4 linked regions of the Pelodiscus sinensis genome follow. Each later gene encodes a partner of the first gene's protein in a complex. Links are inferred from orthologs where the notes say so. Each region holds a gene or a part of one and is shown in the gene's direction. Other genes may lie near its edges.

The links.
Region 2: TAF1A (region 1) and TAF1D share a complex: the UniProt entries of both Homo sapiens proteins name them as parts of the transcription factor SL1/TIF-IB complex. The link is inferred for Pelodiscus sinensis from reciprocal best matches to the Homo sapiens genes TAF1A and TAF1D.
Region 3: TAF1A (region 1) and UBTF share a complex: the UniProt entries of both Homo sapiens proteins name them as parts of the pol I pre-initiation complex. The link is inferred for Pelodiscus sinensis from reciprocal best matches to the Homo sapiens genes TAF1A and UBTF.
Region 4: TAF1A (region 1) and TAF1B share a complex: the UniProt entries of both Homo sapiens proteins name them as parts of the transcription factor SL1/TIF-IB complex. The link is inferred for Pelodiscus sinensis from reciprocal best matches to the Homo sapiens genes TAF1A and TAF1B.

What each region holds. Positions count from the first base shown.
Region 1 is NC_134713.1:154,524,835-154,532,466, reverse strand, and holds the start of TAF1A (TATA box-binding protein-associated factor RNA polymerase I subunit A), read left to right. Parts: upstream 1-4,627; 5' UTR 4,628-4,960; intron 4,961-5,418; 5' UTR 5,419-5,427; coding exon 5,428-5,575; intron 5,576-7,632. UniProt on the Homo sapiens protein: Component of the transcription factor SL1/TIF-IB complex, which is involved in the assembly of the PIC (pre-initiation complex) during RNA polymerase I-dependent transcription.
Region 2 is NC_134711.1:305,249,312-305,256,937, reverse strand, and holds the start of TAF1D (TATA box-binding protein-associated factor RNA polymerase I subunit D), read left to right. Parts: upstream 1-4,625; 5' UTR 4,626-4,759; intron 4,760-5,286; 5' UTR 5,287-5,331; intron 5,332-7,626. UniProt on the Homo sapiens protein: Component of the transcription factor SL1/TIF-IB complex, which is involved in the assembly of the PIC (preinitiation complex) during RNA polymerase I-dependent transcription.
Region 3 is NC_134739.1:7,330,206-7,337,560, forward strand, and holds the start of UBTF (nucleolar transcription factor 1), read left to right. Parts: upstream 1-4,347; 5' UTR 4,348-4,764; intron 4,765-4,791; exon of another isoform or gene 4,792-4,976; 5' UTR 4,977-5,234; intron 5,235-5,374; exon of another isoform or gene 5,375-5,553; intron 5,554-7,355. UniProt on the Homo sapiens protein: Recognizes the ribosomal RNA gene promoter and activates transcription mediated by RNA polymerase I (Pol I) through cooperative interactions with the transcription factor SL1/TIF-IB complex.
Region 4 is NC_134713.1:27,654,375-27,662,044, reverse strand, and holds the start of TAF1B (TATA box-binding protein-associated factor RNA polymerase I subunit B), read left to right. Parts: upstream 1-4,654; 5' UTR 4,655-5,110; coding exon 5,111-5,128; intron 5,129-7,670. UniProt on the Homo sapiens protein: Component of RNA polymerase I core factor complex that acts as a GTF2B/TFIIB-like factor and plays a key role in multiple steps during transcription initiation such as pre-initiation complex (PIC) assembly and postpolymerase recruitment events in polymerase I (Pol I) transcription.

The sequences.
Region 1 (7,632 bases):
ACCAAATCAAATACCCGGCTATCAGTGTGATTATTAAGATATATTTTCATATGTATTATATTTGAGGGTATGAATACCCTAGAAAATCTGCAACTATTCTTCAGAACCAACCCCCCACAAAAATCATATGCAAACTTTGCAATCAACACTGGGGCAAGCCTAACATTTTTGAAGGTGGTTTAGTGAAACAAGTTCCTGGAAAGTTTATACGATCCTCGTTGGTTGGTGTGTTTGGACATCGAGGAACCAGCTATTGCTGGTGGGAGCTGAGTGGCTTTTTAGTATTGCTTTGTACTACCCAAGACTTGGAAAAAGCCAGACTCCTTGAATGGAGGCATTTACATTCTAAATGAATAGCTGACAAAATTTCTTTAATATATATAAACAAACATCCTCAAGAAAAACTAATAAAAGGATTTAGTCTATGGCAATTCTTAAAATACAGGTCATGATATGATTAATCCTTTGTCCATAGATAAAAATTCCTACCCTCCTACCTACAATTGCATTTAAACATAGTTTAATAAAGCAAAGGGCATATATATCAAGTTCAGACAACATAAAATCTTTTGTCAGTTGCACCTCTGTGAGTTTGGCAACATCCTTGTCTCTTTAAAAATAATAATTAAAAAACCAATATTGATCATATAAAATAGTTACTAGTTAGTCTACCACAGTGCTGAGGGCTATACAAGTGCCTACATATGCATTGTTATCAGTAATAGGTTTCACAAAGCTTCTGAGGACACATAGCTTGGACATTTCCTGCAAAAATGCTGAGGTACCTGTGGTGCCTCAGATGTTAGAGCACTCACCTGAATGATGGAGCTGGGGTCAATTCCCTTCTCTACTTGATAGGAAGGTGGAAGATGCCTTTTCAAATCATACCACAATAGTGTCCCACCCACTGAGATATAGGATATTCTGATACAAGTCTCTTTCAACCTCTCCTCGTGAAGCTGTTCCTCTGATTAGACAGCAGAACCTCAACAGGGGTATTGTGAATGCCAGTAGTATCCAAATATTGAACTTTAACATCAATGGCCTTTTTAAAATCTAGTCTGTTGTTAATACTCTAGTTTTCATTACTGTTGTATTTGTGATGAGGGTTGGGAAAAATTAAGCAGAGAACACTTAAAAAAAAGCCAGCAGTGAAAAAATCTGCAGAGCCTGTCTTGCACTGTAGCAGGCACAATATCCTCTATTCCTCAATTGCTTCTGGTTCTCTCTCCCTATGGTATACTGCATTGTTTCTCAACTTTTTTTTTAAAAAAAGTACTCCTTTTAACAAAAAAAATTAAATACCCCCACCACTTAGAGTTTTCAGATACACAAACATTTTTTCTACCACTGCAACACATTTGTTTAAAAAACTTAATTGTAGCTGGGTGGGCAATGAAATTTTGGGGTGTGAAAAGTAGAAAAATAATAAAGCGCTGTAAAACTTAAAACAAAAATTCAGTTCTCCAAATTTCAGTTGTTGGCGTACCCCCTAGATGTCTCTCGAGTTCCCCTAAGGCAGTAGTCTCCAACTTTTTAAAGCACAAGATAAATTCAAAAAGTGAAGTCAGTCCAGGATCTACCTCAAACTCAAATACCCCTGCCCCACCCCTTCTGAAGCCCTTCCCTCTTCACTCTGTGGTGATGGGGTACAGGAGAAGGGGACAGAATGACATATGTGCCCCCTGCCTCTTTCTCCCCCACCCTGCACAAGAAGCAAGAGGTTCCCAGGGGGCAGCTCTGAGGCTCTGGGCAGGAACAGCAGGGTAGTGAAGAGAGGAGCAGCTGAAGTGCCAGCACTTGATAGCCTCCCAGACAAACCAGTCAGGATCACCTGCCAGAGGCTCCAAGATCCACTGGTAGATCCTGACCTACTGGTTGGTGACCATTGCCCTAAGGGCACTCATACCACTAGTTGAGAAACACTGGTATAATGCGGTGAATACATAGTCTTTTACTGTCAGCACGCAAACTGAGACTTTATTTCAATCCAGGCTATTGGTTCAGATATCTCCTTGTCAACTGGAATCCACAGAGTGTGTTCCAAGTACTGATGTGGGCTTTTAATTTTCTGGTGTGCAAAAAGTTGTTGCCTCATAAGTTCTTTACTGAAATCTACAAGGTCAACTGTGAATCTAACCCAGAAATATTTTTCCTCCTCTGTACCTGCCTCTCTGTTTTTCTGACTTAGGTTTATCATAAAGTGTATGCAGTCGAGGTCCAAATATTTAAACTTGTGTGTTATGGAAACAAATAGTCACCCTAATAAAAAAAGTAATAACCACATTTCAGGTTTAAGTGGGGATGTTAAAATACACTTTTGCAAAAATTAATGTAACCACTGAAAATTTCACTGGTTACGTTTACACGCAGCTCTCCCCGCCCCTGCTGCTGCCTCTGTGAGAGGCACAGGGAGCCAGATGCCTGCCTCCCATCTCCCCCACTGCCTCTGATACAGAGGTAGCAGGGAGTGTGTGCATGCGCGTGCCTGTCACCAGGAGTTACCCGATGAGCTCAGGCTTATCAGTTAGCTGTGTACCCGAGTACACGTTAACATCCCTAGTTTTAAGACAGTATCTAAGTATTATGAGGTTAAGGAGGTACTCTCTTGGAAGGCAGATTATCTTACATCTGCTTAGTACCATTTCTTACACATTTCTGTGAAGCATCTGATGTTGGTTATTGTCAGAGATGGGATCCTGGGCTAGATGAACCAGGTGTCAGATTCAGTAAGACATTTGCTATGTGTCCAGGGGCTTCAGATTTTTCAGCTGTGAAGTTTTGTATTTATATAGTATTTATATAATTTTAGTTAGTTCCTCCAACATTATTTGGCTTCTCTGGAAATAGTCTTTGGTATTGGGAAAGCCACCCTGGCTTATTCCTCCAGCTTTGTCACCATTATGGCATCCAGTGTTCCCGCTAACTTTTTCCATCCACGAGTTACTACTGCTCACTGAGCTGGTTTTATGATGTCGCTGTGACAGCTGTCTCCTGTCAGCATAACACAGCTATATGAATGCTCTTACAGCAGCAGAGTTGGTGCAGTTGTGCCACTGAAAGCTAGTAAGTGTATTCACTACGGATGTTAAAATGCATTTAAGTAAACAGTTACCCACTGCAAATTTCAGTGTTGCATGCGGGAGAAAGCAGTTGGCTCCTGTTAAGTCAGCTCCCTATGCACACTGGGAGCCTGAGTGTAACTGTGAAGGTTAACCGATGAGCCCAGTTATACTTTCACACCCCTAGTACACATGGTCTCCAGGTTTGCCTACACTTAGGACTTGTCCACACTTAAAATACTACCATTGCTGTGCTTCAGTATAGACACTACTTACCTATGTAGGTGGGAGAGATTCTCCTTGGTGTAATTCACCTCCTTGAGGCAGTAGTTAGGCTCATGAACAAATTCTTCTGTTGACCTAGCACTGGCTATACAAGATTAGATCAATTTAGTTTACATGACAGAGGTAGCTAGGCCAATATAAGTTCTTGAGATAATCAGTTGCCAACCTGTACCATGAACACAGGAGAAGAGGGGCGCTGATGTCAAGGTATCCTATCCCAGTCCGTATCCTATGTCCACAGAGCAGGGAGGGGGGGCACAACAGGACTTGGAATGGAGGGAGTTTGGCTGCTTTTGGGAATAGTGCAAGGCCAGGGCTGGGGTGAGCCTGTCTTAACCCCACTGCACCACCACCCAGGAGCCACCTGAGGTAAGCGGTGGCCCACTGGAGCCGACATTCTAAACCCCAAGTAATGAATCCCCTTCTGCACTCCAAGCCCCTGCTTTAGCCTCAAGCACCCCTGCAAACACCCTCCCAGAGCCTGTACCTAGAACCCCAACTGCCTGCCCTAAATTCAGCTCAGTGCCCCTCTCGCACTCCAAATCCCTTAAACCAAAACCAGGGCCTGCACCCCAACCCTTTGCTACTGCCTGGTGAAAAAGAGGGAGGGTGGGGGAGGAAGGGAGGGAGGATGGAGTGAGCAGGGGCGGGGCTCAGAGAAGGGGGCACAAAGGAGGCGGGGCAAGGGTATTTGGGTTTGAGGTAGATCTTGGATTGTACTTAAATTCAAAAGGTGATCTCGTGCTTAAATAGGTTGGAGACCACTGTTCTAGCACATCAATTACTAAGTGATCTGATTAATCCTATTTTGCAAACAGCCACAGAACCTGAAGAAGTGCTGTATATGTAGCTCCAAAGCTGGTCTCTCACCAACATCTGTGCGCCCAATAAAAGATATTGCCTGGCCTCTCTCATCGCCTAAGAGCAACATGGCTACAAACAAACTCACTGTAACTCTCCTACCCGCTCATCCAGTGTCAGCAGGCGCATTAGCTGCCCTGCCTTGGGGCTGACGCGCCGTAACGCCAAGCGGGGCTTGCCCCTTATCTCGCCAGCCTGGCCGCGGCCTCAGCTCTGTACGAGGCAGCAGGCGGAGGTCAGAGGCCACAGGGCTCCGCCTGCTCCAGAGGGCAGGGCGGTCCGGCACCAGCCACGCCAGGCCCAGCGCGGCGCCCCGTCCCTTCGGCAGCGCTTGCGGGACGCGCCAGACACCGTGCCACCCGCCCCAGCCCCAGCCCACTGCCCCCGGCTGTGGCCCGGCTCTCGCGGAGGCGCCTGCTGCCCCGCCCCCATTCCCTGAGGGAGCGGCTCACACTACAAGGGAGCAATCCCAGGCCCATGCGACGCCGCTTGCGCACTGGCGAGCTGTCGGAGCGAACACAGCGCATGCGCAACAGCTCAACCGCCTTGGGGCAAAAGTGACGTCAGATCACGTTTTCAGCCTGTCCGTGAAGAAGCCGATGACAGCTTCCATTGCCCGACCCAAACATGGCCGTCTGCGTGTCGGGATGCGGAAACGTCCGTTAGGAGCGTACTAACTCCTGGCACATGCCACGCGCTGTGGAGGAGCCGGGTTGGGGCTGGCCGGCGGGGGAATCTCTCGGTTCATACAGGTGCGGAGGGCTCGGTGGGGAGGGAGCTGCGGGGCGAGCCCGGCCAAGCCAGAAGTGCGGGGTTCGGGGGGGCTCTGAGGTGCTTAGTGCCCTTTGCCCTGCAAGGCCGGGCTTGGGCCATTCCCTGGCTCTTCTTGATTTGGAGTCTGGGGAATTAAGACCAGTGGAAAAAACATCATTTGGCAGCACCGTCAGGCACTGGCCAGGGACTTAGGAGAACTGGCTGCAGCTACCAGCTCTAAGATGGACCCCCTGTGTGTTTGGGGTAAGGCAGGCTCGTGTTCCCCTTGTTAAGTGGTGCTGCTGTAACAAAATAGTAATAGAAGTAATCTGCCTCCCTCTGCTTCCCCGTCCTAGAGCTTTCCCCATCCCCTCACCTATGGGACTTTAAATAAACAGCCCACATCACCATTTCGTGTGTGTGTGAATTTTTTAAGGTGTAAAAGTTTTCCTCGCAGGTGGAAGACATGGACAGTTTTGTTGAACAATTGACAAGAGGGGCACAGGAGGAGTTTACAGAAGAGTCTGCATGGGATGGGTCTGCAGTAAGGATTGAAAGCAGTTCACTTCCAGCTATCCATTTACCTGTACTTCCGAGGTATCTTCAGCATACAAGTAAGTGTAATTTTCTGTTAACTGCTTACTCATAGTAGCACATACTGGTAACTAGGGCTACACTACAATGCTATTTCAAGATACTGGAGTATCCCGAAATAGCTATCCTGTGTCTTCACAGCAAGCCCATTATTCTGGGCTCACTATTCCTGTGTTCCTGTAATCCTCATTCTACGAGGAGTCAGGGACCTTTTGGAATAGCATAAGAACATGTGGCCAATACCAGAAGCCCCAGAGGGAAGGAACACAACAGGTAGTCCTCACATGATCCCTCCCCTGTCGCCCACTTCCAGAGAAACAGAGGTTTGGGACACCATTCTGGCTAATAGCCATTGACGGACCTAACCTCCATGAATCTATCTACCTCTTGTGGTGACCTTTCAGTTTAATAAATCAATTTGTTTGAAAGCCTTCTTTACTGACACCTCAATCTGGATCCATTTGAGATTTGTCACTTAAAAATAATTGCTCAGGTGTGGGAATCTCCCCATATCCTCTGCAGTCAAGACCAATATCAGTAATTCATTTATCTTCTTAGCAACAGCCTTTTTTCCCTTGAGTGCTCTTTTAGCACATGGATCATCCAGTGGCCCTTCTGATTGTTTGACAGGCTCCCCACTTCTGATGGACATAACACTCATTTTGCTGTTAGTTTTGTGTCTTTTCCAGAATGCTCTTCAAAGATGGATTTTTGGCTCTTCAAAGATGGATTTTATATTTTTATATTTGACTTGCCAGAGTTTATGCATCTTTTTATTTTCCTCAGTAAAATTTAACTTCCAATTTTTAAGGGACATATTTTTGCTTCTAACTGTCTCTTGTACTTTAAGACACTGTGATGCTTTCTTTTTTTTTTTTTTTTTAATTTGGCGTATGTGTTTAGTTTGAGCCACTATTATGGCATTTTTTAAAATTGTTTCTGGGCTTCTTGCAGGAATTTCATTCTTGTGACTGTTCCTTTTAATTTCTGTTTAATTAACTTCCGTATTTTTGTGGTGGTCTCCTTTTTGAAGTTATTTTGATATTTTCCCCCTGTACAAGCATGTTTAATTTAATTTAATTTTGGTCGCTATTATTGAGTGGGTCAGCTATATTCACCTCTTAGACCAGGTCCAGTGCTCCATTTAAAACTTTTCCCTCGTGGGTTTCAGGACTTGCTGCACAAAGAAGCAGTCCTTAATGGTGTTTAAAAATTTTATCTCCCTTCTTTTTATCCTGCTTGCCATCCTAAGGCAAAATATATCCAGTCGATATGGGGAAAGTTGAAACTCCCCATTACTATTGGGTTTTCTGTTTTTTAACCTCTGTTCTCTCCCTGAACATTTTACAATCACTGTCACAATGAGATGGTCAGTAATACATTCCCACTATACTCTCGTTATGTAAGCATGGAATTTCTATCCACAGAGATTCTGTTGATACTATTTGATTCATTATGACTCTATGCTTTTTTTTCCATGGATAGTGCCACTTCCCCCACCAGCATGATCTACTTTGTCAGATCTATATAATTTTTACCCTGTTTTCACTATATCCTATTGATTATCACCATCCTGCCAAGTTTCTGTGATGCCCTATTTTATCAGTATCTTTCACATTCAGTTTTACCCATCATAGTGTTCAGACTTCTAGCATTTGTATAGCACTTATAAAATTTATCAATATTTAGTTCTCACATGAAGGCAGACATAATTGAAAAACAGTCTTTTGACTGTTCTTCATTTCCCACCTGTACTTTATCAACTTCCAGCCTCTCTTCTTTATTAGGATGTAGAGTATTCTCTTTAATAAATATTCCCTTACCGTATCTCTGTGTCCAAACTGGACGCTCCACATTTCCAAACCTGCTTGTTTTCTCCCCAACTCCATCACAACCTTTTTAATTTTACATGCCACCATTTTGGTGAAGGTAGAGCCCATCCTTCCTATATAGGTTCTTCCTTTCCCAAAAGATTCCTAATAATCCCTCCTCTGAATACCATCATTTAATTCACACTTTTGAGACCGTGCAGTTCTGCCAAAGTGGCCCTGCATGTGGAACTGGATGCATTTCAGAG
Region 2 (7,626 bases), on another chromosome or scaffold:
CGGACGGAGGCATGGGCAAGCCGGGCAGCTGCCCAGGGTGCCAACCGATGGGGGGCGCCTGATGGCAGCTGTAAGGGGCGCGTGGCGTCCCTTACAGCTGCCATCAGGAGCCGTGCGCCCGGCTCCCGCAGTGCTGGCCCCGTGGCGCCGACTAGCAGCGCCCTGCCCCCCACAGCTGCAGGGCCCTGCACCGCCCGGTGCACGCGCCAGCAGCGCTGGCTGGGCCAGGCTGGGTAGCGCATGCACCGTGCACCCCGGGCTGTGCGCTAGCGGCTGTGACTGGCCCATGCATTCGCCAAGTGCCCCGGGGGCGGGCCCTGGGCTGCACACCAGCAGCCGTGGCTGGCGTGCGCAAGCGCCCTGCACCTGGGGGCAGCACCGTGCTCCCAGGCTAAGGGTGCCAAAAGGGCTTGGGCCGGCCCTGGTTACACTCAGGGGCCGGCGTCATGTGGGGAAAGAGTTAACCACTGGCCCGTGTGGCATGGAGCTGATAGGATCATGGAGGGCGGGACGACACAAAGTAGAGCAGCCATGCGACCTCTCTCCGGAGCACTGGGGAGGAGGGAAGCCGCATGCCCCCAGTGCCATGCAGCTCGCGGCTCCCATTGCCTCAGGCCTCGCGGGGGCAAGTTGGAGTATGGGGGAGGCTGCATGGCTTGTGGCTCCCATGGAGCATGCGGGGGAGGGGGAGCCGGGCATGCGGGATGACTTCACTCTGTTGTCCCGCAGGAAAATCCTTTTGAAAGTATAATAAGATAAGATGTCGAAATAACTGCTTGTGTGCTTGTGTTATGGGAAGGAGTAAATAACATTTCCTTATTTACTTTCTCCATACCAGCTGTGATTCAATACATCTTTATCATATCCCCTTAATCATCTTTTCTAAACTAAAAACTCCCAGTCTTATTAATCTCTCCTCATAGAGAAGCTGTTGCAAACCCTAATCATTTTTGTTGCCCTTTTCTGTACCTTTTCCACTTCCAGTATTTCCTTTTTTACTAAGTCAGAATGACCACATTTCCATAACAGTATTCAAGTGTAGGCATTCCATGGATTTATATAGAGGTGATGAGTTATCTTCTGTCTTATTATTTATCCCTTTCCTAATGATTTCCAACATTGTTAGATTTTTGACTGCTGCTGCACGTTGAGTAGATATTGTCAGATAACTATCCACAATATACAGGTCTATGTAGCACTTTAAGACTAACAAGATGGTTTATTAGATGATGAGCTTTCGTGGGCCAGACCCACTCATCATCTAATAAACCATCATCTAATAAGCTCATCATCTAATAAACCATCTTGTTAGTCTTTAAAGTGCTACATAGACCTGTATTTTGTTTCAGCTACACCAGACTAACACGGCTACATTTCTACCATTATCCACAATATAGGGATGTTAAAAATCTGTTAATTGAATAGTAGAGTAACCTCCTGAAATTTTATCGGTTAGTTGACTATTTTATAGTCCCCTGGGGCAGGGCCAGCAGTGCTGGGTGCCAGGTGGGAGCTGGTCTGCAAAGGGAGCCAGTTTAAAAAACAGATCCCCTCACAGACCGGCTGCCTGTTGCCCTGTGCTGCTGCTTCTGAGAAAGAGGCAGCAGCATGGGTCTCAGCTTCTGGACCGGTGTGAGCCAGAACTGAGCTGCCTCCCGATCTAGCTCTTAATACACTTGAAATGCAGAGCTGAAATGGGGATAGGTCCTAGACCCATGGCAAGCCAGGACTGAGCCAGGCTGCTGGCCAGCCTGTTAAAAAATTTACTAGCAGGGAGAGGGAAATGCATGTAGTCTATAGCATTAACCGATAAGCTTTTGCTTATCGGTTAATTGACTATACCAGTGGTCACCAACCTTGGAGCCTCTGACAGGTGATCTCGACTTGTTTGGCCATGAGGCTGTCAAGTGCAGCACTTCAGCTGCCCCTCCCCCCACTGCTGAGCACCTCCTGCTCTTTGCCTTCGAGCTTTTTTCTTTTCCCACCCTGTGTATTCTATCTCCAGCGAATGGATGTGGAGGGCACAGAAGGGTTTGGGATGGACAGAATTTTCTGGCTGCTTTTGAGAATGGTGCGGGGCCAGGCAGGGGTGAGCCTGCCTTTAGCCCCATTGCAACACCACACAGGAGCCACCTGTGGTAAGCAGTTTCCAGCTGGAGCCTACATCCTGAATCCCTCTCCCAGTCACGTACCCTCTCCTACACCCCATCCCCTGCCTCAGCTCAGAGTCCTTTTCACACTCCAAATCCATATGATCAATGCCTGCACCCCAACTCTCTGCCCCTGCCTGATAAAAGGGAGGAATAATGGGGGAGGGAGGGAGCTGGAGCAGGGCCTTGGAGAAGGGGAATGAAGGAGGCGGGACAAAAGTATTTGGGTTTGAGGTAGATCCTGGATTGCACTTCAATTCAAAAAGTGATCTCATCCTTTAAAAGACTGGAAACCACTGGACTATACTATTACATCCCACCACCAGAGGCATGTAGTCTAGACGTACCCTTAGAATGAGAAGGGTAGCCCTGTTCATCTGAATCTGCATAAACAACCAGAAATCCTCTGGCACCTTATAAACTAACAGATTTATTAGAGCACAAGCATTTGTAGCCCTTCTGCCGGGTAGGCCTGGCAGGAACCAGGGCTGGGTTCAATATCTTGGGGTCAATCTCACAAAGAACCGGCTCGAGCCCCCACCCAGTGATCTGGGAAATTCACGCACCCCTGGGCGCCTCTGAGAGGCAATGCTTCCCCACTCGCAAGCACTGAGTCTGAGTGTAGGAAAAGAACATTTAATGAAACAGAGGAAGAATTCATACGGCATTAGCTTGGGGAAAACACCACAAACAGAGTTCATAACCCAAACATGAGCCCCCACCCCGGCCAAGATTCGCCCGAAGTCCACCGACTCCCCAAAAGTCTCTGTCCCCACAAGTCTCTGTGCCACCCAGAGCCCCAAAGTTCACCCGCAGGGTTTCACCTCCCAACCTGGGTAGAAATGGGGGTGGGGAGATAGATAGGGGGCACCTTATACGAAAACTCCGCTACGCTTCACCAGCTGTCTCGTCCCACACCTCTGGACGCTCCGCTGGGCACCTGTCGCCACTTCTCGCCTGCTGCCGCTCCACGCCACGCCACTGGTCGCCGCTCCTCGCCTGCCGCCGCTCCATGCCACGCCGCTAATGGCCGCTCCTCGCCTGCCGCCGCGCCACGCCACTGATGGCTGCTCTTCGCCTGCCGCCGCGCCACGCCACGCCGCTAGTCGCCGCTCCTCGCCTGCTGCCACTCTACTGGTTGCAGTAGGTCTGGCTCTCAGCCAAACCAGTGATTTCAGCTTAGTGATTTCAACTCTCAGCCAAACCAGTGATTTCAGCTCTCAAATGAATCCAGCTTTCACTGGACTAGCAAACAAAAAGACTCCTCAGGGAGTCTGCTTTAGGTCTGTCCTTAAAACAAAGGGGGAAAGGTGCAGGCTGGGCCAGTCTTATAGCTCACACCTGGTAGGTGTGAAGCAGGCTGACACAAGTCCTTTAACCCTTTCCCCCAGCTCTGTCCACTCAACTCTGGAAGGGGGGAGGCTTGTTCTTCCGAGACCTCTTACCATGATGGTGGTGTCTCTCCTGCAAGCACTGGTGGCATGTTTTACAGTTCCCACATTTAGGGGTAGCATGATTAGTGACCCCCACAACAGTCCCAAATTATATACAATTCTCCACATTCCATTCCAACACTGACCCTCCATCAGCCCTGGCTGAATGGAATTTACATAGCCACACCTTGGATTCTCTCCTGAGCAGTATTTACATGTCAACAGTTAACAGTTAATTACCTTGTAGAGCTAAACAACTGTAGTGGGCACACCCACCCCTCCTTTCAGCTGGCTGACAGCAAGCAGCAGTTCAGCCCCTGCTTACACATTCATGGGCAAAAGTGGGTCTTTTAGCCACAAAAACTTGTACTCTAATAAATCTGTTAGTCTAAAAGGTGCCACAGGCCTTCTCCTTATTAGCCCATTTTCTGTAAGCATGGCTTTGGGACCTCCCTCTGCAGTCTATCAGTTTGGTTTGGGTAATTGCAATAATGTTAAAATTAAATGAGTACACTAGCAAGAAATTGTTTTATTTCACTAACTACAAATTTTCTGTTTTCATTTAAAAAAAATTTTAAACAGTCAAAAAATTGCAAAGTGCAAACGTGGAAAAGCCAAGAAAAAAGAGGGGTCGGCCAAACAGTTTTTTGCTTGGGGTGGAAAAAAACAAAGAGCCGGCCCTGACCGCCAAGGCTCTCCCCTGCGAGCGAGCTCCCAGTACTAGTCCCCCTCCTAGCCCCACACAAAATGGCGCTTCCTTCCCGCCCGCAGTCCAGAGGCGCGTTTTTATCTCCCCTCCCACAGACACTGCGTAAGTAACTAGCGCACGCAGCTAATTCCTACAGCTACCAGCCCCTGACACTACACCGGCCAATCACGGCCCGTCTTAGTTACCATTGGCCAATAGGCACGGCGATGCCACCATAGGGGCGTTCCCACCTGCAAACCTTCTCATTGGCTCGCGCCCAATCATAGCCATGAATTGATCCAGCGACTCACCTCCCAAGCGCATGCGTATTGTAAGTTATCTGTCCTAAACCCGCGAGAGGTGACTTCGCGCGTTTTCCTTAGCCACTGGCTAGCGATTGGAGCTACAGCGGATGTGACGACATGGACCCGGACCCAGTGACCGGAAGGAGCCCTTTGAAACGACGGAGGCTGGTGCGCGGCGGGCAGGTGAGGTTGGTAGCAGGGTTGCGGCGGGGCCTTTGCAGTGGCTACGGGGCAGGGAGCTCCCCGCAGATTCGCCCAGCCGTGCCCGGCTCCCTGGTGCTGTTGCGGCGGCAGGCGGGCGTGGGACGTCCCGTTTGGCTTGGCGCGGTGCCGCCGCCCTGGATCCCCTCTCCCCTTGAAAGCTTTATGCGTGTGCCCGGGGCTAGGGGCGGCCGTGCCGGGCGCCTGGCGCCCTCTGTTGAGGGGCTGCTCTGTCTGAAGCGAGAGCCGGCCCAAGCTAGGGGCTGACTGGGCGATAGGCCCGGGCGCCCGATTCTATGGGGCGCCACGCGGTGCGGCCGGGCGGGGCCGCGCATGCGCCGCGCGCCTGGGCCTGAGTTTGCAAGAATGAGCCGCGCGCGCCCGAGGCGGGCCGCGCATGCGCCGCGCGCCTGGAGCTGAGGTTGCAAGAATGGCTTGGGCCGGCTCTGTGTGAAGCCCGCTTGACGGGAAGGCAAGGCGCTAACTCCTCCACGTCCCTCCATTTGCAGAGTCTGCTTGTCCTTTGAGCCCTGATCCTGAGAGGAGACGGAGAGGTAGGTGGAGGCGGAGTCATGGGGTAAAGCTGTGTGTGGCTGCTAGTCTGTAACAAACGTTTGGGAGTGCTCCCCTCCATGCCTTCCTACCTGCCCTAACTACCTTGCACTCCTTGTCCACTAGTGACCTCAGAGTCAAAAAGGCCAATGTAGAGTGGCAGGTTTAGTGGCTTTTGTGATAAATAGGGCTGTCAAGCAATTAAAAAAAACAAATCAGAATCAGTTATACTATTAATGAGGGCATATATAAGCATGGCTATACTGGGTCAGATCAAAGGTCCATCTAGCCCAGTATCCTGACTTCTCAGAGTTTCCAATGCCAAATGCTCCAGGGAGAGTGAACAAAAACAGTCATTTGACAGGTTTTCCATACTACTTATAATTTTTATTGCCCCTTTCTGAACTCTTTCCAATGTTTGCCAATACATCTTTTTTTAGATAAGGCGACCGCATCTGCACACAGTATTCAAGATATGGGTGTACGCTGACTTATATGGGTGTACGCTGATTTATACAGAGGCAATAAAAATATTCTCAGTCCCTTTTTTTAATGATTCCTTATGTTCTGGGTTTTTTTTTTTTTTTTTTTGACTGACGCTGCATGTTGAGTGGATGTTTTCAGAGAACTATCCATAATGACTCCCAAGATCTCTCTCGAGTGCTTATAGCTAAATTTGTCCCCATCATTTTGTATGTTTAGTTTATTTTTCCAGTGTGTGTTACTTTGCATTCATCAATATTAAATTTCATTTGCCATTTTGTTGCTGAACCATCTACTTTACTTTTAATTATCTTGAGCAGTTTTGTGTCCTCTGCAAATTTAGCCACCTGTTTACTCCTTTCTCCAGATGATTTATAAATAGGTTAAATAGGATTGGTCCCAGTACTAACATATGGGGGACACCACTAGTTATCTCTGTCCATTCTGAAAACTGACCATTTATTCCTACCCTTTGTTTCCTGTCTTTTAACTAGTTATCAGTCCATGAGGACCTGCTCTCTCATCCCATGACAACTTACTTTACTTACAAGCCTTTTGTGAGGGACCATGTCAAAGGCTTTCTGGAAATAAGTACACCATATCCACTGGATCCCCCTTGTCCACATTCTTGTTGATCCCCTCAAAGAACTCTAGTCAATTAGTAAGGCATGATTTCCCTTTACAAAAATAATGTTGACTTTTCCCCCCAACAAATTACGTTCATCTACGTGTCTGACAATTCTATTCTTTCCTATAGTTTGAACTGATTTGCCCAGTTCTGACATTAAATTTACTCGTCTGAGATTGCCAGGATCGCCTCTAGAGCCCTTTTTAAATATTGGCATCAAATTAGTTATCGTCTAGTCATTAGGTACAGAAGATGATTTAAGGATAGGTTACAAACTGTTGGGTGAATTCCATCTGGTCTCACTGACTTAAGTTTATCAGTTTATTCCAAAACCACCTCTAATGACATCTCAGTCTGGGACAATTCCTCAGATTTGTCACCAGAAAGAATGGTTCAGGTTTGGAAATCTCTCTAACATCCTCAGCTGTGAAGACCAAAGCCAAGAATTAGTTTAGTTTCCTCCGTAATGACCTTATCAACTTTGAGTGCTCCTTTAGCATTTCAATCATCCAGCGGCCCGACTGGTTCTTTAGCAGGCTTCCTGATTTTCTTAAAAAATATTTGGTTGTTACTTTGAGTTTTTTTGGCTAGCTGTTCTTCATACTTTTTTGGCTTTTCTTATAATATTTTTACACTTAATTTGACAGAGTCTATGCTCCTTACTATCTTTCTCACTAGGATTTAACTTCTACTTTTTAAACAATGCCTCTTTATCTCTTGCTGCTTCTTTTACTTGGTTAAGCCACAGTGGTACTTTTTTTTTCTTACTGTGTTTTTATTTTTTGGGGTATACATTTAAGTTAGGTCTCTATTTTAGGGTCTTTGAAAAGTTTCCGTGCAGATTGCAGGGATTTTACTTTTGGCGGTGTACCTTTTAGTTTCTATTTAACCTCCTCATTTTTGTGTAGTTTTCCTTTCTGAAATTAAATGCCTCGGTGTTGGGCTGCTGTGTTGTTTTTCCCTCCACAGGGAAGTAAAATTTTATTACATTGTCACTATTTTCAAACGGACCCGTTATATTTACTACTTGGACCAGATCCCGTGCTCCACTTAGGACTAAATCAAGAACCTCTCCTTTTGAGGGTTCCAGAACCAGCTGCTCCATATTTTTGGATATTTCTACATTGTCAGACTTCAATTAGAACAGAATTCAAAGTGTACAGGGCTCATTTTGCAAATATTTGTA
Region 3 (7,355 bases), on another chromosome or scaffold:
TGTGGCAACTCTACTGCGATCCCATGCAGCATCCTGGGGGGTTACATTTATAATCGTTTCTGTAGGATTGTGTTCTGCTCCATGGAGGAGGACTTCCAGGTGCTCAGTACAACGGGGTAATTACTGTCAGCATCTTCACTAGGACCCTCAGGGTCCAGGGTCAGAGGAGGGACAAACCTGAGGCTTGGAATAGGAGAGAAGTTCATGGCCAGACTCCAGGCTGGGGTTGGTACCCAGGGACCAGGTCAGATTTCAGGCTCTGGGTCAGGAGGTAAAGTCAAAAGCCAGGCGTTCAAGACCAGAACAGCAGCTACAGACAAACCACATGACCTGGATGCTTCTGGGAACGCCTCCCAGGTTTAAATAGGTCCGGGAGCCAATCAGGAGCCATGGGGCTGCTGCCTGTCAAACCCCGGAGGCGGGACTTCCCATAGTTTGTATGCGCACTGGACCCCAGAATGTTGGGACCTGCCTTGTGGCGTGTACACAGCTTGAAGTAGCAGAGACGTTCATGGCCAGACTCCAGGCTGGGGTCGGTACCCAGAAGCCCCACTCCTTGGGGAGCCCAAACTGGATTTTCCAGTGGCAGCCACCGAGAAAGGTGTTTCGGTCTGAAGAGCTGGGCTTGAGCTGATGGAGGGATTCCCTTTTGATGCAGCAGACAGGCAAGAAGGGTTGGAAAGTCTTTGGCTTGCTAGGATCCCATAAGACTCATGCCAACCTGGGCTAAGGCTACAGCCTCTAGGACCGGGGTGGGGGACCTAAGGCCCCCCGCCGAGGCTCAAGGCTTCTCCCCAGATTGGGGAGCATATGCTGGGCTCCAGCCCTGCCTCCACAGGACTGGAGCGCCCACAAAATCTACTAGCCTGGGCCCCTCTAAGCTCTGGTGTGTGAGGGGAATGTGGGGAGGGTCTTTCTCTTTCTCAGGTGAAGGCCACATCTTTGGTTTTTGTTTTCTTTTGTTTTGCTTCTCACTTGTGCGTGTGGCCTCTGAACCAAAAAAGTTTCCTAACTCGTCTAGGAACTTGTCTTGTTTGGTGCTTATCCTCTCTGTGCCTTTTGTTTTTGTTTTTTGTCCTTACAATAAGTGTACTCTGCTGGGACACTGCTGTGGGGTCCCTACTAAAAGCACAGGCATTGTCTTCCAAGGCTACGTCTACACTGCCAGATTTTGCGGCACAAAATATGTGAATGAGGGACTCATTTCCATGAATTGCAATCTCATTTGCGTATTTTCTGCTGATCCGTTTTTGCGCTAGGGCTTTTTGCACAAAAACAAGCAGTGTGGTTGTTTCCTTTTTGCGCAAAAACCCCTTTTTCCGCAAGATCCTTATGCCTCAAAAAAGGAGGTATACCAATCTTGCGGAAAAAGGGGTTTTTGCACAAAAAGGGAAAACACTTTGTTTTTGTGCAAAAACGCTTAGCGCAAAAATGGATCGGCAGAAATTATGCAAATGAGATCATGACTCATGCAAATGAGTCCCTCATTAGTATATTTTCTGCCGCAAAAACTGGCAGTGTAGACATAGCCCAAAGGAACAATGTTTTGGTATGGACAAGCCCTCAGACTTTACTCCTAGGCTGTGTCTACACTGGCAAGTTTTTCTGGAAAATCAGCCGCTTTTCCGGAAAAACTTGCCAGCTGTCTACACTGGCCGCTTGAATTTCCGAAAAAGCACTGACGATTTCATGTAAAATCATCAGTGCTTTTCCAGAAAAACTATGCTGCTCCCGTTCGGGCAAAAGTCTTTTTCCGGAAAACTGTTCCGGAAAAGGGCCAGTGTAGACAGCACAGTAGTGTTTTCCGATATTCCACGCTTAGCCTCATTTGCATATTGCTCGCACAAGAAGCCACGAGTGTAGACATAGCCTAAAAGTGCAGAGCGTGGTAACCAAAATGATTAGCATCTGAACAACATCTGCATGAGGAGACATTGAAAAGCCTGGGATTTTTCAGTTTGGGAAAAGAGATGACGCGAGGGAAATGTGGTAGAGGTCTATAAAACCTTGACTGGTGGGACAAAAGTGAAGAGGGAAGTGGTATTTACTCCTTCCCATGACACAAGAACCGGGAGTCACCCAATAAAATGTAATAGGCAGCAGGTTTAAAACAAACAAAGGGAAGTACTTCTTCACACAGTCGACCTGTGGAACTCATTGCCGCAGGTTGTGAAGGGCAAAACAATACAAGTTCAAAAAAGAAATAGATACAGCAATGGATATTGGTGTCGATGGTCAGGGATGCAACACTAGGATCAGAGCATCCCCAGCTTTTGAATGCCAAATGCTGGGAGTAGATGCCAGGGGCTGGAAATGTTGATGGTTGCCTGTTCTCTTCATTCCCTCAGAAGCAACTGGCCTTAGCCTCTGTCAGAAGACAGGGTCCTGGACTAGATGGAATATTGGTCTGTGGTTGTTTTTATGTTCTAATATTACATGTGCACAAATAGATGCTTTATCAGTAGTAGCAAGTAGTAGCAATCTTTACCAGTCAGCCTACCACACTAGCTGGTTGCAAAAGATACTGCGATAAATATTTATGTTCACAATCACACCTCAGGGCACCCATGAACATTGGGGCCTGTTGTGCTGTGCACAATATAAGCACATAGGGTACATCTACACTGCGGAGCTATTTCAGGATACCCGAAGTATCCTGAAATAGCTCTTCTGTGTCTATTGAAGCAGCCAGTTATTTTGAAATAGATTTCGAAATAACAGGCGGTTTATTCCAACATCCCAGTTACCCTCATTCCGCGAGGGTTAAGGGGAATTTTGGAATAGCGAGCTATTTCAAAATTTGGCACTGTGTAGACAGCACCAAATTGCAAAATAAGCTATTTTGAAATAGCATCAAAATAAGCTATGCAATTTGCATAGCGCGAATTGTGTAGCTTACTTTGAGCTAAGGGTGCTGTGTAGATGCACCCATACTGAGCTCTTCAGAGTAAGCATTCTCTCTATCTCAATAGACATGACCAGGTAAGATTGGGAGAGGAAATAGAGGCACAAGAATGTAACGTGCCCCAAAGCCCGCGTAGTCGGGAAAGCGATTCCAAACATTTTTGAAAAAAGTTTAGACACTGACAAAATGTTCAGTTTCGACAACTTCTCAATGCAAAGGTTCCATTTTGTTTCCAAACAATTTCTCAGTGAGAAATGTTGAGTCATAGTTAAAAAAAATTAAAAGCTAAAAAAGATCTAAATTGAAACCAAATGTTTTAATTTACTTGATCCAATTTTTTTTTTCAGATTATTTTCGTTTAAGGACATTTGAGCTTTTTGACCTTTCCTACCTATTTGTAGGAATTTTTTTTAAGGTTCCAAACCTACCATGGAACGGGAAGATCACCTTCAGCCCAGCATTAGGATCATCTATATGCCCACAAAAACAACACAGCAGAATTATTGCGTGTGCACACAGCTTGTATCCAGAATGAAAGGGGTAGGCCTTCACCCTCCTTAACATTTTTGACTCATCTTATGTGGAAAAGACAAGAGGTACATTTTTAAGGTTTTCACAGAGAAGGATCACTTTGAAAAGCTACTAGCCCCTAGGTGAAACAGGGGTATCTGTTTAAGACACCTCAGTGACAGGACAGAGTTTTTAGAGCAGGAAGTGAACAAGGCTGAAATCCATGTAGAATTGTAGAATTTTATCCACCCCCCCATGTTAACAAAGATAAGACTTTTATTCCAAATTCCTTAGTGTAGACAAGGCCTAAAGATACTGTTTATATTTTGGTTCCTTCCCCAGACCTGAAGAGCTGTGTGTAACTCAAAAGCATGTACTTTAAACCAACAGATCTAATAAAAGATATTACCTCACTCATGTTGTCTCTGGCTTAGTACTCTAGCTCCCACTTCATTACCAGCATGTTTAAACTAATCTGCATTAATCTGTGGTAACAAAACCATGTATACACTCAGCAGTGCTGTCTGACAACCCCTTTACATTTCTCCATATATAAAAAAATATCCCTGGTGCCTGATACATATCTAATGCAACAAGGCAGGCAAGCATTTGCACACAGTGTTATGGGAATCCCTGCATTGACAGCCAAAGCCAAACCATGCAGCACCCTCCTGGTCTCACATGTATAGGCCTTAGAGCAGGTCCTCCCACTCTTCCCCCCCAAGAGAGCTCATAACACTTAATTGCTTTTTTTTTTTTTTTTGGTCTGTAGAAGCCGCTTGCTTATTGGGATTGCCATTAATTTGACAGGCAGATCCCAGACAGGGGATTGGCTAGCAGCAGATGACGCCCATAACAACAAAGGTGGAGTTGGAAAAATTAGATTAAAAAAAATTGAGGGGGGGGGGAGGAAATGGAAAAACTCTCCCTTCACCCAGCCCCCTCCGGCTTTGAAATATCCAAGAGTGTCAATTTCACGGTATCGTTAACAAATCCAGCGGTTCACGCAGTCCGGGAGGAAAGTGTGAATTTCACTCTCGACCTGTTTGTGCATTTCCTGGTGCAAGAGACACACAACAAAACTCCCCATTTTTTTCCCCGTCTCCTTCTTCCCCGAGAGCCTGTTTACAAGGCAGCCACTTGCAGTGTAGTTCAGGTTCCTTCTTTTGCGTTGGTGCAAATGTCTGTCCCCGCTCTCGGAACTTGACAAAGAAAATCTGAATTTTATTTTTGTGCATAGGTGGAACTTTAAAAAAAAACTTATTTTTTTTCGTGCTATTCGAGGTGGGTTGTAGGAAATCGACCATGTGAATTTTTGGTGCAAACGTCAGAAGAGGATTGTTGCAAATGTAAGCTTTTTTTTTTTCCTCCTTCTCTTTCCCTGTCTCTCCCTCCTCCTCCTCCTCTTCTCTTCTTTTGGCTACAGTGTTGCAAAAGCAAAGAGCAATAAACACGCACAGAGAGAGAGCGAGAGAGTCAGAGAGAGACAGACACACAATCCCGTAAGAGCCAGAAGAGAGTGAAAAGAGACGAGACCGATTTCTCTGACAATTCCGTTTAGGGAGCAGATGGAAAAGTGGAGACTTGTGAAGGGCTGTGAGGTTGGCTAAGGATCCAGGAGCGAAAAGAGCCCGGCTGATTGGAAGAAAAAAGCAGAGAGATGGAGGCGGGGGAAGTGCAATCTCTCTGCGGGGACTGGAGCGAGTCCACGCCCGGGGCCAGCGCTGCAGAGCTGGCTAGCATTCAACCAGCGCTCCCCAGCTAAAGCACCCAAAAAAAGCCGTCCCCAAGCGCCTTCTCCAGCCTGGCTGGTTTGCAGGTAGGTGCATTTCGAAAAAAAGACCCGAGACCTCCAGCAGTAAACGCGCCCGATGCAGCCCCCTGTTGCAAGGGAGGGTGGGTGGGAGAAGGATCAGGGGGAGGGGGGAGAAGGCACGATCCGAGGCTACGCTGGCTGCACCGGGCTGCTTTGCTGCAGCAGGAGCGCATGTGGAGCTCGCCATTAGCCGACGCTCTGGTTCGCCATCTGGGGCTGGAGGAGGCGCTTTGTTTCCTCCACAGGCTCCGGTGGTGGTTGGCTGCAGCAGCTGCTGCTGCTTCCCCCCGGTTGCAGACTCGGCGGCCGCCCGGCTTACTCGGTGAGGGGAAGGCGCTCGGGGGAGCAGGCAGCGGGGATCGGGGGGCTTTTTTGGGGGGTAGCGCGGGGAGATTTCGGGGCGGGCGGCGCGGGGTTGGATTTTCCACGCGCTCGCAGCCCGGGCAAGGCCCCGCGGCTCGCCAGGCAGGAAGCGGCGGCTCCGGGAGCCTCGGCCCGCCGGGGATAGGCGCGTACAAAGCGGCTCCCGAGCTGCTGCAGAACCGGACCCCCCGGAGCCGCGGCGGCAGGGAAGGGGGCGCAGCCGCCGCCGCGCGGAAGGGGGGACTGCACGAGGTAGCAGCGTGGCCCCGGCCGGGCAGCCGCGGCGGGATTTCGGGGGTGGGCTCCCGGGGCCGGGCGGTTGTCCCCCCCACCCCCCCCATCCACCCACCCCGTTCCCCTCCGGAGCTGGGGCGGTCGCCGTCGGGCGGGTGCGTGCCCAGGCTGGCTCCCCTCCCCGGCGGCCGCGGGGCTCCGGCCCCCCGCTGGGCTGGGTGGTTCTGGGCCGGGCCGCGCTCCCCGGGGGTCGGTGCGGGGAGAGGACGCGCTGCCCTCGCCCGGCTCTGCGCGCTGCGGCGGCCCCGACGCCCCCCGCCGCCGCCTCCGCCCCTTCCCCCCGCGGCTCCGGCGAGGCTGCGGCTGCCGCGGCGGCGAGTCCTGCCCCCTCCCCCTGCCCTGGAGGTGGGTCCGGCGGGCGGCTTCCGCGGCGCGCTGGCTGCAGCCGGGCTGGGCGGCGGCGGGGCGGGCGGAGCCGGCCAGTGTCTGCCCGACGGGCCCGGTAACCGGGCGGCCGGGGAGGGTGGCGAGGTGCGGGGGCCCCGGAGGGCCCGAGCCTCCGGGGGGCCGCGCGGCGCCGGGCGCCCCCGGGGTCTGCCCGCCGGGGCGAGGCGGGGGCCGGCGCGGTCCGCGCGGCGCCGGGCGGGCGGGCGGGGGAGTCGCCGCGGCGCCCGGCGGAGGAGGCCGCCTGCTCTCCCCGGAGGGGGTGGGGGAGGGCGGCGCAGCGGCAGCTGCTGGCGCGTCGGTCCCGCCCGGCTGCCGCTGCCTGGTGGAAGAGGAGGAGACTGGCGCTGGCCTGAGCTGCGTTTGGGCAGGGGCTGCGCAGGGCACGTGGGGATCCCTCCCCCCGCCGTCCGGGCCTGCCCCTCCCCCCGCCCGGGGATCTGCCCCCCCCGCCATCCGGGCCTGCCCCTCCCCCCGCCCGGGGATCTGCCCCCCCCCGCCATCCGGGCCTGCTCCTCCCCCCGCCCGGGGATCTGCCCCCCCCCCGCCATCCGGGCCTGCTCCTCCCCCCGCCCGGGGATCTGCCCCCCCCCCGCCATCCGGGCCTGCCCCTCCCCCCGCCCGGGGATCTGCCCCCCCCCCCCGCCATCCGGGCCTGCTCCTCCCCCCGCCCGGGGATCTGCCCCCCCCCCGCCATCCGGGCCTGCTCCTCCCCCCGCCCGGGGATCTGCCCCCCCCCCCGCCATCCGGGCCTGCCCCTCCCCCCGCCCGGGGATCTGCCCCCCCCTGCCATCCGGGCCTGCTCCTCCCCCCGCCCGGGGATCTGCCCCCCCCTGCCATCCGGTCCTGCCCCCCCCCCCGCCCGGGGATCTGCCCCCCCCCCCGCCCGGGGATCTGCCCCCCCCCTGCCATCCGGGCCTGCTCCTCCCCCTGCCCGGGGATCTGCCCCCCCCCCCCCCGCCATCCGGGCCTGCCCCTCCCCCCGTCTGGGGATCTGCCCCCCCCTGCCATCCGAGCCTGCCCCTCCCTCTCTCGGAGATCTGCCCCCCCCCCCCCCCGCCATCCGAGCCTGCCCCTCCCTCT
Region 4 (7,670 bases), about 130 Mb from region 1:
TAAATATGTTCAGCTTAAGAGATAACTAAGTGGAAGTGGTTATAATAATCAATAATCTGTGGATATCATTAGTGTATTAACAAGGGCCAGATTATGACTAACACATGCAGAAGAAGGGCACATGGAGTCTCCTTTCTCTGTGTAATTCCTTTCCTTAGCTCCTCAGCTGTGTAAATCACCCTGGAAGGGCTGGGGAGAATGCAAGGTTATGAGTTTATTCTCTCACAACTCAGCCAGCAGAATTTGTGAGGTACAGAGAGGCAGGGGTCCTAGAATGATTGTTATAGTGTGGCCTAACCACATAAGCCATACCATCACAGGGCTCACCCACCTGCAAAACCACTAATGTGATATATGCCATCAAGTGCCAGCAATGCCCCTCTGACATATATATTGGCCAAACCAGACTGTCTCTACACCAAAGGATATATGGACACACATAAACTGGTAGGGGAACACTTTAACCTCCCTGGACATTCAGAAATGGATTTTTGAAAGTAGCCATCCTTCTACAAAATAATTTCAAAACCCAGTTAAAAAGGGAGACATCTGAACTGGAGTTAATTTGCAAATTCAATACAATCAATTTAGGATTGAATAAGGATCTTAACTGGTTAACACACTACACAGGCAATTTCTCCTCTTTTTATATTCACATCTCCACACCAAATGCTGTGAATGAGCCACTTCCACTCTGTCTTGATTAGCCTCATTACCACATATATACCCCGCCTCTGTAACTTCCACTCCAATTTTATCTGATGAAGTGGGTTTTACCCATGAAAGCTTATGCCCTAATAAATCTGTTAGAACCCCAGACAGCCTGAAGAAGCTGTCATTGCAAGGCTCTGAAATTTTACATAGTTTTATTTTGGAATACAGGGATTTCTGTGCATCCTTCTACATTTATAAACTCAACTTTCTTGATAAAGATATTGTACTACAGTATTTGTAATGGGGGAATTGAAAGATACTACTTATTTTAGTTTTTTACGGTACAAATATTGGTAATAAAAACATAAAGTGAGCACTGTATATTTTTATTCTATTTCAGCCTCTGGCAGCCTGACCAGAGCCAGAACCAATCCCCGACAGTGCGGGCTGCTGGAGCCCAGCAGGTAGTCTGGCTGGGGCAGCAACTGTAGAGTCAGCAACCCAGCAGGAAGCCCAGCAAGGGCTGGAGGTAGTGCCCCCGTCTCATTCCCCTCTCCCTCCCAGTTGGCAGAGTAAGACTAGGTGCCGTGGCAGGGAACCTTCTTTGTTCTGGCAAATTCACTATTTGGGAATGGTCAGGTCTCAAAGGTGCTGGATAAATAAAAAATCCAAATCTTCACTGACATGGCCAGCAACTAAGAAGGAGAAAGACACTGCCCCCAGAGCCTAAGGGGCCCCAGCCTAATAGATTTTGTGTACTCCAGCCCCACAGGAGGGGGCAGCCCTGAGCCTCACGAAGGACTATTATAAAGAGGATGGTGATCAATTATTTTTCATGTCCACTGAAGACAGAACAAGAAGTAATCACCTTAGTCTGAAAGAAGGGAGATTTAGGTTAGATATTATGAAAAACTTAAAAACTATAAGGCTTCCAAGGGAGGCTGTGGAATCTGTGGCTACGTCTACACTGGCCCCTTCTTCGGAAGGGGCATGCTAATTTTCAACTTCAGAATAGGGAAATCCGCGGGGGATTTAAATATCCCCCACGGGATTTAAATAAAGATGTCCGCCGCTTTTTTCCGGCTTGGGGAAAAGCCGGAAAAAAGCATCTAGACTGGCCCGATCCTCTGGAATAAAGCCCTATTCCGGAGGATCTCTTATTCCTACTTCAAAGGAAGGAATAAGTAGGAATAAGAGATCCTCCGGAATAGGGCTTTATTCCGGAGGATCGGGCCAGTCTAGACGCTTTTTTCCGGCTTTTCCCCAAGCCAGAAAAAAGCGGCGCACATCTTTATTTAAATCCCGTGGGGGATATTTAAATCCCCCGCGGATTTCCCTATTCTGAAGTTGAAAATTAGCATGCCCCTTTCGGAGAAGGGGCCAGTGTAGACGTAGCCTGTGTGTGTGGTGGTTTTTAAAACTAAGTTAGACCAATGCCTGTCAGAGATAGCGTAGCTATACTAAATCCCGCCTCAACACAGGAGGATGGACTAGAGATAACCTGTAGAGGCCCCGTCCAGCCATACACTTCTATGATTCTATAGCATCTACTGTGCATGGAACACCCATCATGATCCAACACCATGTTTCTACATGTTCAACTACATCAACTGAAAAAAGTATACTTAGAGTTTATGTATCACTATACCTGTTCAAAGCATTGTACTGAGATTAACTAAATTATTCCTGACAAAACTCTTGTGCTGTAGGAATACAGGCATTGTCATGTGGCATTGAAACAGTGGTCTGTCTTTGAGAGTTGCCAGTACCAGATATTTTTAGAAACACACAAGAAATTCTGAAAAAAATGTATGGGATAATGTGTCCATAAAGAAAGTTTCTTTATTACCCCCCACAGTTAGAGGCTGGCTTATACTCTGAAGCTAAGCATGAGGGTTTATAACTCTTCCAGACTTTGTTTTTTAAAATCATAATTGTTGGAACTCTGGGGTTTTTCCTCATTGTATAAATGTCCCTTTTCTGCCAAGTCCTTGGCCTCAGTGATATTTCATGGTAATTAATTCCACAGACTATGGATGTTAGTTATCAGTTATTTTACTAGGCGAGTAGTCGATGGAATTTCCATCAACTACTCGACTAATCGATAGGCACTTCCGCATTCCTTCTTTGAAAAGTACAAGAGCCCCCGCCATTCCAATTCCTCCATTTCAAAGGAGGAATATGGAACTCTGTGTGCAGCCCGGGACCAACAGGAAGACCCACTGACTCTGGGCTGCACATGGGTGTGCCTGCTTTGAAGTGTACAAGAGTCCCCAGCAGGGGCTCTTGTGCATTTCAAAGTGGAACCGCAGCATGGAGCCCGAGGTCAGTGGAGGACTAAAAGTCCCTCACTGACCCTGGGCGCCATGCTGCACTGCCGATTTGAAATGCCACGCGGAGCCCGGCGTCAGCTGGGGACTCCCCAGCTGATCCCTGGTTCTGCATTGCATTTCAGCCAGGGATCAGCTATGCGGCGCTGCCCCTTTGAACGCTGCCTCAGCATTTCAAAGAGGCAGCGCTGCACAGCTGAGCTGGGGATCAGCTGTGTGGTGCTGTCGCTTTAACTAACCCCTCTTCTCCCCCCCTTTGCTGCTTCTATCTGATAGAGCCAACAAGGGCGGGGAGGGGATCGATTAGTCAACTGACTATCCGATAAGCATTGCTTATCGGATAGTCACTTAGTCCTTAACATCCTTACCACAGACCAATTGCATTTTGTTACTGTCCCGACATACAGATGAGAAAACTGAGACAGCAAAGCACTGGCAGGTACAGGTTTTGAACTCAAGGTCAGGTCAGGATTGTGATCTCCTGACCCTTCCCCCAATCTCCTCAACAAAACCCCCATTGCTCGCCGTGTTGTGTATCTAGCCTTGCTAAGTATCTACATAATTTTATTGCTATAACTTCTGCCCTTCTTTTCCTGACCCTTGTATACAGGAGTGCAATTGTAATTAACTAACTAACAAACAGGGATCAGATGGAACAAAATTAAAAGGGAGGAGGATCTGGGGTTTCTTCCCAGGAAAAAGCAAATAGCATTTTACATCCCTCAAGAACCACATTTCTTGCCCACATTCTCCCTCTTTCCTTTCATCCTCAGCTTCTGGAAGGCCTTCTTATGCCTCAAGAGCATCCCATAAAGCTCAGATTTCTGCTTAATTTCTTTGCACTCATGGTCTCCAGGAACTCTGCCCTCCCCAACATCTTTCCTCCTTTCCCCCTTTAGTACTCAAGAACTCCTTCTTACTCCCTATCAGTTCTGACCTCCCATCTCTGGGACTTGCTTGGGCTGCTGCTGGTACTTTCTGTGACCTGATTAGAGAGAAGATCTTTATGCCACAATTACTGGCTTGTGGCTTCTCTTTTGCACTTAGTACATTTTTGGGTGCTATGAAATAATTAGTATTTCTCATTAGTAAGAGCAGTAAGACTTTTCACTGTCTGATATGGTTCTGTGGTAATTGTAACAGCCACTCTATGACATGGACTTTTGAACATAATGACAAGCATTTCTTAGGTGGCTATAGATACCAATCCTTTGGCCTTGCATCAGATGGCTCTGCAAAAACATGTGATTTAGAACAGCTTATGGTATTGCTCAGACATTTAAAAAAACTAAAAAGTTTGTCAGAACAGTGTCCTGTATCAGGACATAAAACTGAGCCCTTGACCATTAAACAACTGATTTAAAACTAATAAACAAATATTTTTACATAATGCATAATTAACCTATGAGACTCATTAGCACAATATATCAGAGTCCAAGCTCTTAGTAGGATTTAAAAAAAATATTATTTATACATCTACATGGATAGGGACAACCATCACAGTTACATTATAGAAGGAAGATTATAAACTGTCATGGTTCAGGATATAAACTAATCACTAACTGGCAAAGACTAGGAAAAATTTCTCCTTCAGGTTGTACTATAATCGTTCTTCTGATGCATTTGGTAAAGTCTTAACTCTTTACGTTTCAAATATGAAATATCACCGAAACAAAGGTCTGTAATAAAAAAATAAAAGTGTGGTGCACATTCGGAGAGGGCGGATCTAGCTCCGCTGGTGCGTCTTGTAACAGGTGGACAGCAGCGAGGTGCTTCTCCGGGAGCTCAAGCAGCCAGGGCCACCAGCTTTCTGCCCTACAAGTCCCGGGCTCAGTCCTCAGCTGGCGAATAATGCAGCAGCTTCCGCCTCGGGCTGTGGCTCAGTCAAGTCCGCGGGGCAGATTCCCATCCAGGCTGAGCCCAGGGGATGCAAATCGGCGCCGCCTGCCCGCTGCCTCGGGGAAGGGGCGCACGAGGCGGGCGCTCCCTGGGGAGCTGAGTGGCCCTAGGACCCGGCCGGAACCCAAACGCGCGGCCCCGGTTCCTGGCCGGCTGCTCTTCCCCCGCGCGCTGCCGCCGGAGCGCGAGGCCCGAGGCAGCGGGTTTGAGGCGCGCGGGCCGCAGGCATGGAGGAGGAGGAAACGGTGAGACGCGGCCCGGAGCCGCCCGGTGCGGGGAGAGAGCGGGAAGCAGGGCGGGGGCGCGGGGGCGGGGTTAGGGAACGGGGGTTGGCGAAGGGCTGCGGGTGGTGTCTGGGCGGCAATGGGGGTTGTGGTGGGAGGGCGGATTGACATGGGATGGGCAATGGGGCGGGTATGAGCAATGGGGCCATTTTGAAGGTCGGGGTTTTTGCCCTGTTAACGGGCAGACAAGGATGGGGTAGGCTGGGCTGGGATTGTGGTGTGAGTGTAGGTAACAGGTGGCCAGAGAGCAGCAGCTGTTCCTGGGTGCCCAGTGCTGAGGCAGTGCCCCACCAGCAGCCATGCAGAAGAAAAGGCATCAATCCCATGCCATGTCACCCGTACTTCTGCGCTGCTGGTGATGGTGGCTCTGCTTTCAGAGCTCGGAGCCTGGTCAGCAACTGCCATTCTCCCGCTATCTTAGGCTCTGAAAACAGTGTTGCCACCAGCAGCAGTGCAGAAGTAAGGGTAGCAGTACTACAGTACTACTCCTTTTCCCCCAATACATTTGCAACCCCTGCTTCCCCACACACACATACACATCTCCTTTTTGGATCAGACCCTTTAGAATTACAACATGGTACAATTTCAGATTTAAATAGCTGATGTGACATTTACAATTTTTAAAGCCCTATGATGGCAAACTTGATCAAAATGGACAGTGAATTTGGTAGGTTTCTGCCTATGGTTCATTGAAATAACTTTGCATTTTGCGAGATGAAAGGACACTGACAGATTAAGGATCCACTGTGGGCAAATCAGTGCAAGTGACTTTTGGGGAGGAGGGTATCTATGATCCTGAACTGAATGGGTAATTAATGATTTAGCAGAACAAGTTAAGCTGATTTAAGAAATTTTAAAATCTGCAAACAGAATTTTACGATATTAAAAAATATTTCTCCCATCGATTCTCTCCCATGTCCTCATTCCTTCCATAACAGTGGTGGAAAAAAGGACCTCCGCAGGCTGGATGTGGCCTGCCAAGTGGGTTGATTCAGCCAGCAGAGGCCCTGCCACTCCCCCACCCCCAGGCCAATTAGGACCTGGGGGCAGGGGGGAGTATATGAAGTTTCCTTCGCCCTGACAGGAGTGCGCAACTCCTTGTAGGGTGGCAGGAGACTTCATACACTTCCTGCACCCCCAAGCCCTGATTGGTCTGGGGGCAGAAGAGGGAGCACGCAAAGTCTCCTCTCACTGTGAGGGGCATGGATACCTAGGGGGAACTTCGGGAGGGGGGGCAAAGGCGCTCTCCCATCCCCCTGGACCAATCATGGTCTATGGGTGGGAAAGCATCCTCTCTTCCTCCCCCCCCCCCCCCCCCCCCCGCTCCTTCTGCTCGAGGCCCCGCGCCTTCCGGTTTGGCCTGAGGCCACTTCAAAAATTTCTGAAGTGACCCCTGGCAAAAAATAATTGCCCACTGCTGATCCAGAATGAGACCTTACTTTTTAATTAATCTCTTTTTCTTGGGTGTCTCTAGTCACCTTTTATTCTTGCAGGCTTTCTTCCATTCCTTGTGTTCTCTAACTTTTTTTTTCTGGTGTACAGTTTACTAAAGTTTTCCTTCACTTCTTTTTTTGACTGTCAGCTAATATTCTCTTCCCTTCCTAATGTTTTGTTAATGTCCTGTAGTGTCAAGTATTCTAGGCATTAGGGATGTAAAATCCCATTTAATTAGTTAGGTGGTTAAGCATTAAGTTTAATCAGTTAACCGATTAAACGGGGCAGGTGGGCCCCCTGGGAGCTGAAGCAGCCTTCACTGGTTAACCATTAACAACCATGCTAGGCATAAGTTACATGGGTTTTCACCCTGTGATAGTGTTGCTGTGTACAGCAGTTAACACAGGTCAGGTAAAGAATTGGAAACATATATTAATTACAGTGATAGACCCAAGAATCTCGAATATATTTAGTTTAACAAAGAGAAGATTAAAGGGTAACTTGATCACAGTTTATAAGTATTTTTGTGGCGAACAAAAATGTGCTTCTGGGCTCCTCAGTTTAGTAGACAAAGCTATAGAAAAAGATACCATATCTGGAAGTTGAAGCTAGACCAGACATGGGCAATAATTTTTCATGGGGAGCCACTCCAAGAATTTGGTAAGTCACAGGTCTCAGTTTTCTGTGATATTAATGGAGGAGTGTGGGGTCTGTGATGGAGGTTAGGCTCAGAATGGAGCTTGGGGTAGGGGATCAGGATACACCAAGGAGTCTGTAAGGAGGTTTGTGTGCTGGAGAGGATTCTGACCTAAGGCAGGGCTCAAGGAGGGGGTATAGAGGGTTTGGGTGCAGGAGAGTGTTGTAACCTGGGGCACGAGTTGGGGTAGAGGTTAGGGATCTAATAGTATAGTTGATTAACTGATAAGCAAAAGCTTACTGGTTAATGCTATAGATTACATGCATCCCTCTGCCAGTACGTTTTTTTAGCAGGCTGGCCAGCAGCCCGGCTTAGTCTTGGCTTGCGCCGGGTATGGAACTTACCCCTGCTGTGGCTCTGCTTTTAAAATAT